Cricetulus griseus: one gene and its partner. The protein of the gene in region 1 interacts with the protein of each later gene in a pairwise test. Links are inferred from orthologs where the notes say so. Each region holds a gene or a part of one and is shown on either strand. Other genes may lie near its edges.

The links. The genes of interacting proteins can lie anywhere in the genome.
Region 2: the proteins of DNA repair protein XRCC4 (region 1) and Aplf interact in binary tests that used the Homo sapiens proteins (3 or more experiments, as listed by UniProt). The link is inferred for Cricetulus griseus from reciprocal best matches to the Homo sapiens genes XRCC4 and APLF.

What each region holds. Positions count from the first base shown.
Region 1 is NC_048595.1:308,960,551-308,964,448, forward strand, and holds part of DNA repair protein XRCC4, read right to left. Parts: intron 2,632-3,898; coding exon 2,459-2,631; intron 1-2,458.
Region 2 is NC_048601.1:55,693,380-55,697,277, reverse strand, and holds the end of Aplf (aprataxin and PNK-like factor), read right to left. Parts: intron 1,614-3,898; coding exon 1,411-1,613; 3' UTR 466-1,410; downstream 1-465. UniProt on the Homo sapiens protein: Histone chaperone involved in single-strand and double-strand DNA break repair.

The sequences.
Region 1 (3,898 bases):
CCAAGTACAATGAACCATGTGTGCAACTGTCAGCACATTTTTGCCAACAGATGAATTTATATGATGGTATCACTCTGAAATCAGTTTGCAGAAACACATGGCATACTAGAAAATTCCCAGTATTGTACCGAATAGAATATGTTTGTCAATGTTTCAGCTGCATCCTTAGCTGACCTTAGCATGAAAAGTTTTGCCTCATTTAAATGTCCAAAATATCTCTCTCAAGCAAGCCAGGCATGAATAAACTTATCAACAAATACACAATGAATAAATAAAAGGACACCCATTTAAACTGCAATGTGATGGTTGAAGGCCATTTGTCTAAGGACTCTTCTAAATTCCTGAGTCTTTTTATGCTGTTAAATCACTAGTAAAAATCAGTTGAAGCCAGGCATGTTAGTGCTGTCTTTAATCCCAACACTCAGGAAGAAGAGGCAGGTAGATAAGTTTGAGGCCAGGCAAGTCTACAGAGTAGTTCCAGGACAGTAAGGGATGTTACACAGAGAAACCCTTTCTCAGAAAAACAAACAATCAAACAAACAATCAGTTGAAAGCATAGTATTCAAGACCTTGATTTTGATAGAGTGATTAATTTCATGATGGAAAACAAGAATTTTTTCAGGATTATTGCTAGTCTTCAATTCTTATACAGAGTAAGCCAATTGTAATGATGGAACTAATGAAGAATTAGAGGTTGTTCTTCAGAGAATCAGCAAAACTACCAAGCAGCCAGGGCAAGTCCTCCAGCAGTGCACTTGCTGAGCCCCAGCCTTTCACCACATCACAGGTACCAAAAGCTTCTCACTAACTTGACAAGTGTCATCACAAAATAACACTATTTATGTAAAACAAATGTCTGCTGAATAGGAATTACTACTACTTAGTTTGCCCTGTTCCACTTCATAATACGAGTAGGAACTGGCAGCAGTTGTTATGTATTTAATATCATCTGATTGAGCATTGGCCATAGAAAAGAACACAATTAATAAAACTGTAGTTGTCAACTCAGATCTCCTTCACCTATTTTTAATTATTATTTTAATAACTGCAATATATTGAAAAATATGCATTGTAGCTATTGTGACTATGTATCCCTTAAACTGAAATTACAAAGCCAGCCATTATACATTATTCTCCAAAATAACACATATTTGAAAATAATTTAATTTATTTCTTCAAAGATTTCTCAGATTGATAATTCCGCTTTACTATTCGGAGTTTAAAAGGTTGCTTTAAGAGCATTTAAAAATTGGATTTATCTAAAAAGCAAATTCTTCATTACTATCAATGAGCCTAATGAAGTAAGTTTCCCCTTTCTTAAGATGTAGATCTATGATTAATAAACCAAGAGCAAAAGCAAATTTAATGTCTAATTAATTTGGGCACTATGTAAAGACAGTAAGCACAGTCTAATAAAGTAGCCAGAACCTTAGTCAGAACTGCACAGAAACAGCAGATATGCTTGTCTAGAAAGCATGGAACCTTTGGAAAGCTGAGACACAGAGTTAGCCCTCCTTCATTATTTTTAAGTATGACAATATAAATAATATTCCCTTAGTCATTAATCGTATGTACTACTATACCTAACTATGTTGTTTTAAAATTGCAGATATAGGGAGCTGAAGAGATGACTCAGTGGTTAAAAGCACTGGCTGCTCCTCCAGAGGACCAGGGTTCAATTCCCAGCACACATGGCAGCCCACAATTGTCTGTAACTCCAGTTGTAGGAGATTCAAAACCCTCACACAGACACACATGCAGGCAAAGTACCAAGACACATAAAATAATAAATTAAGAATCATTAAACAACAACAATATAATAAAACAAAATTTCTAAGATATCTAAGAAAGAAAACAAATCACTTACTGAATAGCTAAAGGTAAAAGTATTGCTTTCTTTCTGAAATTCTGTATTTTCCCATATTTACTTTTGAGCAAGTCAGGATGCAATAGTCTAAAACTCTTTATCTCACTTCTTTCAAAATTGTTCATTCATGTTATTAACTGCAATACTTAAAGTATTTTAAATATTGAAGAGTACTTTTCACAATGTATTAAAAGAAATGCTTCATGAACTTTAAACCTGAAGCATTGTGAGCTGGTGAGATGGCTCAAAGAAAAATGCTTGCTAACAAGGATGAAGGACCAAGTTCCACCACCAGAGGCCTTGGGGAAGGAAAGAACTGATTCACAAAAGTTGTCCTCTTGGCCATCACATATGTGATTCAGCACACACACACACACACACACACTCATGCATGCATATGCACAGACACATCCATACATACAGAAAACACACATAGAATCGCATTTTACATATATTTGAGGCATATTAATGAGTGTACCAACTAATTTCTTGGTATTTATTTCCCGAAGTGCTCTAAGAATAATAGAACTGCTACTTGAATGTGAAACAAAATCCATCAATAAAATCAAATTTGTGGGAAGCTGTACTTACTGAGACATCTTTCAGTTCTTTCTCAAGGGAGAAATGGCACGACTCTCTAGAAAAGATGAATTTGTATGTGTCAGATCCTGATCCTGAAACCAATGCTTTTCTCAATTCATCAGCATATTTTTCTTTCTCCATAGCCATGTCATCAGCTTCTTGGGAAATCTCCGATTCAGAAACTATGGGAAAGATTAATAAAAATAATGAATAATAAGTTTCTATTGGAAAACAAGTACTTAGTTGTTACTACTACTTTATCAAATATAACAGGTTTTTGAAAAAATAATAAAATCAAAATGTTTCCCTGTGGCTTTTTAAAATACCTTTAGTGCTATTTGTCCCTTTTTCCTCCCTCTCCTGTTCTCTCTCTCTCTCTCTCTCTCTCTCTCTCTCTCTCTCTCTCTCTCTCTGTCTCTCTGTCTCTCTTCTCTCTCTCTCTACATATATATATATATATATATATAATAATATATATATATATATATATATATCTTCCCCTTCAGTATTTTCTCCTTTGCCCTTTTAATGCACTTCTTGTATCCTACAACAAGCTCTTTTTCTTCCTCTCCAATCATTACACCCCTTTACTTTCCCAACTTCTGTAGTTATGCCAAACTACATACGCAAATCTATGTATCCAGAGCTAGGAACTGTCCGTGTGTGTGTGTGTGTGTGTGTGTGTGTGTGTGTGTGTGTGTTTAATGGATTTATGCCACATGGATAATAACACTCCCTGCAGGAACAATTGATTACTAAACAATTACTCCAGAGCCAGGCAAGGAATGCCTTCAAACTGTTGGTCAAGGGACTTAGAGAAACACCAAACATAAGATACTTCCATTGTCCTTGGCTACACCCCTACAACTTTAGAGGAAGTCGATATTTCTGAAGATAACATACACTTCCCATACAGACCTTAAGGAATTGAACCAGTACTGACCTGAAAGCTTTCCCTCTGAGGATTAACACTCATAGTATCAGAAAATGCTATGCAACCTGACAACAGACAAATGTAATCAACAGTTCTATACAACTGGAAAGTCTACAAAGCAAAACAATACTTGGCCTGCTAAGATATCCCCAAAGGTTAAATAGTTCTTTTTATCTTGGTAATGGTAATAATCATCAGCCATCTATGGTGTACTCAATAAGATAGAAGTGATGCCTGGTACTGTAAACCTAGTCAACTATCAGAGGGTGGAGAAGACACAGACCCTCGAGTAGGACTGCTGTTTCCCTAAATCAATATAGAATCTAACTGTATGTTAAGTGTCTTTCTTTATTCTCAAAGATAAGTTTAGTTCTCAGCCCCCATCAAAGAAGCTTGGTTTTGCAATAGATGGAGGTTACTTCAAAGATCCCCAACTAATAAAACTGAAGAGAATGAGCAACTTTGAGGTCCTAAGCCCCAAATGGTATATCTACAACATAAAACCTCCTCCGAGG
Region 2 (3,898 bases), on another chromosome or scaffold:
TCTGGGCAGGTCTGGGAAGGTATCTCTCAGGGTCATCTGGGGGAGTGGCAGAGACCCTTCCCCCCAGGGGGGCTGCCACCAAAAGGTACAGATTTAAATACAGATCTAAAGCCATGAGGGAAAATCGATGCTGCTTCTGCCTCCACCTTCATCCCCTGCTGGTGAGCACGTCAACCCCACTCCTGCCTCCTTCACTAACACTGGAATCTCCCTTTTTTGGCCTTCAAAAGTTTGACAAGGATCAGCAGCTCTCTGGAGTCCTCTAGGCCACCAGCGCCAGACTGGGACTCATTTACTGGGCAGCTCCTGGTCCTCCGCCTCTCTAGGGTGAAGACAGCCATAAGGACTACCCAGCCCTCACCATGTCAGCCAATCTAATAAATCCCCCTGTAGCATAATCCTATCGGTTCTGTTCTTCTAGAGAATCTAACAGAAGGGAAAAACAAGTTTGCAAAGAAGTCAAAGTATCTGAGAAAAGTATAAATATTTATTTTGTCTTTCTTCGGTTTAAGTAAAATTTAAATTATACAATTACATGCAGAGACTAAGAAAACATATCGGGCACATTTCTATTTCCTCTTAAAGGATGACAAGGCGCTTGCTGCTTGCTCCAGCTCTGTGCGCACAGACTCTACTCACAGTGAAAACTGAGCTCCTAGAAACTCAAAGCTGCCTAAAGCGAAGCGTTACTGAGAGCCCGGTTCAAGGACAGGAGTGAGGAGATGTACCCCACTAACTTGGAGCAGAGGCTTCTTCAGAGGAGACCGTCTGAGAAAACTATGCTGGAAGCTTTTGGACATCCTACTTGTAAAGCTACACAGTGCAAGCAAAGTAATGAGGAAGGGTGTGCTGTGAAGACAACCACAGCTGCGGGGTGTGCAGAAAACGTTTCCTTGCAAGGTGAGTGTTGCTTCCCCACAGCTTAACAGGATCATTTTCAGCATCTGGTTGTTAATAATTTCCCCAGGATTCAACAGACAAGGGCAGTAAATGAAATCACAAAGCCACATCTAATGCATTAGAAAAATAACAGACACTGCACTGGCTGTCACTTTGTTCAAGTCTAGCTTTGTGAGGGACTCTATGCCCTCCACTGTCCTGTAATCACCTAGCTAAGCTTGCACGGTATACCTCGAAGGTCAAAGGTGTGTACTAACTATGGCTTTTATTAGCAGTGTGTAAAGTATATGAAAAAGTATCAGACGCTGCCTAACCTCTGTACCTGCTTCCACTGACAGATGAACTAATAGGCACCAAACAGGCAACAACATGGCTTCCACCTACGTCACTAAAGGCTGGTGTTTCAACGTTTCAAGTGGGAAGAGCTATTAAAAGAAAATGGTTACTACTCAGTTTCTGGACATTTCCCATAAAGGCAAAGCAAATGTGAGTTTTATTATTGCAGAAAAGTTACTTTTTCCTCTTCATAAACCTTTTTGCTTCTTTTAAAAGCTCTTCCACATCTTCCTTCTCTTCGTCATCCTTTTCTGGCTGCCAGTCAGAATCCTCATCTGTCGGCTCGTATCCTTCTTCCTCGTCATCGTCTTCCAGAAAGCTGTCGTTCAGGTCATTCTCACTGGGGTGCCCACCGTCATCATTATCTTTATCTCGGACTGAAAAACAGCGTATTGCAAACAACACATCAACCACTACAACTGGGGTTAGGGATATCTGTTGGAAAATGTCTCCCTGTGGCATGAATTAATTAATCTTTAGCTTACTACTTTGAGTGTTAGAACTGGCTGTAGCAGGATTTCTCTTTTGGGCCACCAACCATGACACGGAGACTTCTTATTAGTTATGAATGCTTGGCCTCCTCTTAGCTCTTATTTTATTCTGTTCCCTTGATCTATGTTTTGCCTCGGGGCTCTTTACCTCTCTTTATATCTTACTTTCCTGCTGTCTCTATGTCTGGCTAGCTAGCACCTGCCTGGCTTCTGACCCTGGGTGTGTCCCTCTCTTTTTCCCTTGTTCTCATCTCTCTCATTCTTCTCTCTCTCTCTCTCTCTCTCTCTCTCTTTCTCCACCACACTCCTCTCTCTCTCTCTCTCTCTCTCTCTCTCTCTCTCTCTCACACACACACACACACATAAACACACACCTAGATTTCTCCTCCTACTTATTCTCTCTGCCCTCCAGCCTTACCTACCCTTTCTCTGCCTAGCTATTGGATGTTCTGCTTTTTATTAGACCAATCAGGTGCCTTAGGCAGACAAGGTGAAACAGCAACATCTTTACATAATTAAACAAATGCAACAGAAACAAATGTAACACACCTTTACATAGAGTAATACTTCACAGCATAAACAAATGTAACACATCTTTGCCCAGTTAAAATAATATCCCACATAACAATGGGCACTAAAGTGATCATTTGTTTATTAGTCTAACTGTCCACACTGTGAGGTCCCTGTGACTAACTTGGCTCATGAGAATCAAATAGAGGGTCCCTAATAACACCATGCTGCCAGACCTTCACCCCAGTCAGCTATGTTATGCCCTGCCCCTTCCTGATAGGATTACTCTGCTGCCTCTGACTCCCAAGTGCTGGGATTAAAGGCATGCACCACCACTGCGCAGTTTAGTTAGTTTGTTTGTTTTTTAATGTGCCAACACATTTGGAAAAGCAGCTTGTAAACATCTGCCGCACTTTATCACACCACTGCATCAGGCTCTCTGACAGCTTTTAAATGTCATCAGAAAGTAAGACAGCTAGGGATATGACAGCATTTTCCTTGCACTGATTTCTCTTGCATTCACTGTCTTGTGCCAAAGCTCTAGCACTCTGAAAATGTGTGGAACGCTAGTAAGGGCTCATGTTAGCTAGACACAGAAGAAACGTGGCAGGTGGCAACAGAACAATACACAAGCAATGCAAACCCTTAGCTGCAACATGTAGAAAATCTATGGACCCAGCATTTCAGAAGGGCTACAAATGAGAAGTTAAATACTCAGCCTCTAGTGTGGTTGCTTTAATGCTGATACTATGCTATATTACATTATCTTATGTGGTCATGAGTGTCCACCTGTTTAACTTTTTAAAAAGAAAAAAAAAGGGACCTAGTTCTTTCTTCATGTTTCTACTATGTGGAGTGTCATGGCCACTGTCCTGATCACCTGCACTATAGTCCAAGGTTTGCTGTTTCCCTTCTCTCATGCTGGCCTCCATTCCATGGCACATCAATTAGCAAGTCTTACTGATTCTTTCAAGGTCTCTTAGCTTTGGGGTACTTCTCATATCCCTGTGACCCTTTTCACACAGAAAACACATGACACATGAAAAAGTTAGTGTTCGAAGAAATGGATCTACACATACATGAGATTAGGATCTGGGTAATGATAAATGTTAAGCATTTGGGAGATAAGAAACTGTCAGAATTCTGTCTTAGATATCTCTGAATTAGGAAATATGAGACCCTAACATTTAATTTGCCATTTAAAGTATTCAGACCCACAAGTTTTAGAGGAAAAAAAGATGTGCTGATTACATCAGCACACAGAGATTCCCAAGCATTCACAGAGTTGCTCCCTGCTTACAGATGTTCTAAGATCTCCACTGGGAGCTAGAAGCCAGTTAACACACACACACACACACACACACACACACACACACACACACACACACACACACACACCACACACCACACACCCACACACACACACACACACACACACACACACACACACACAACACACACCTAGGATAAAGCCTGATTTGTAATTGGGCACATTAAGAGATTAATAGCAACAATAATGAAATGGAATAAACAAAACAACAGTAGTTAAAAGCTTATGAGTTACTGATTTTATAACTTTTCTTTTTGTTTTGTTTTGTTTCGAGACAGGGATTCTTTGTAACTTGGTCTGTAGACCAGGCTGGCATCAAACTCACAGCGAT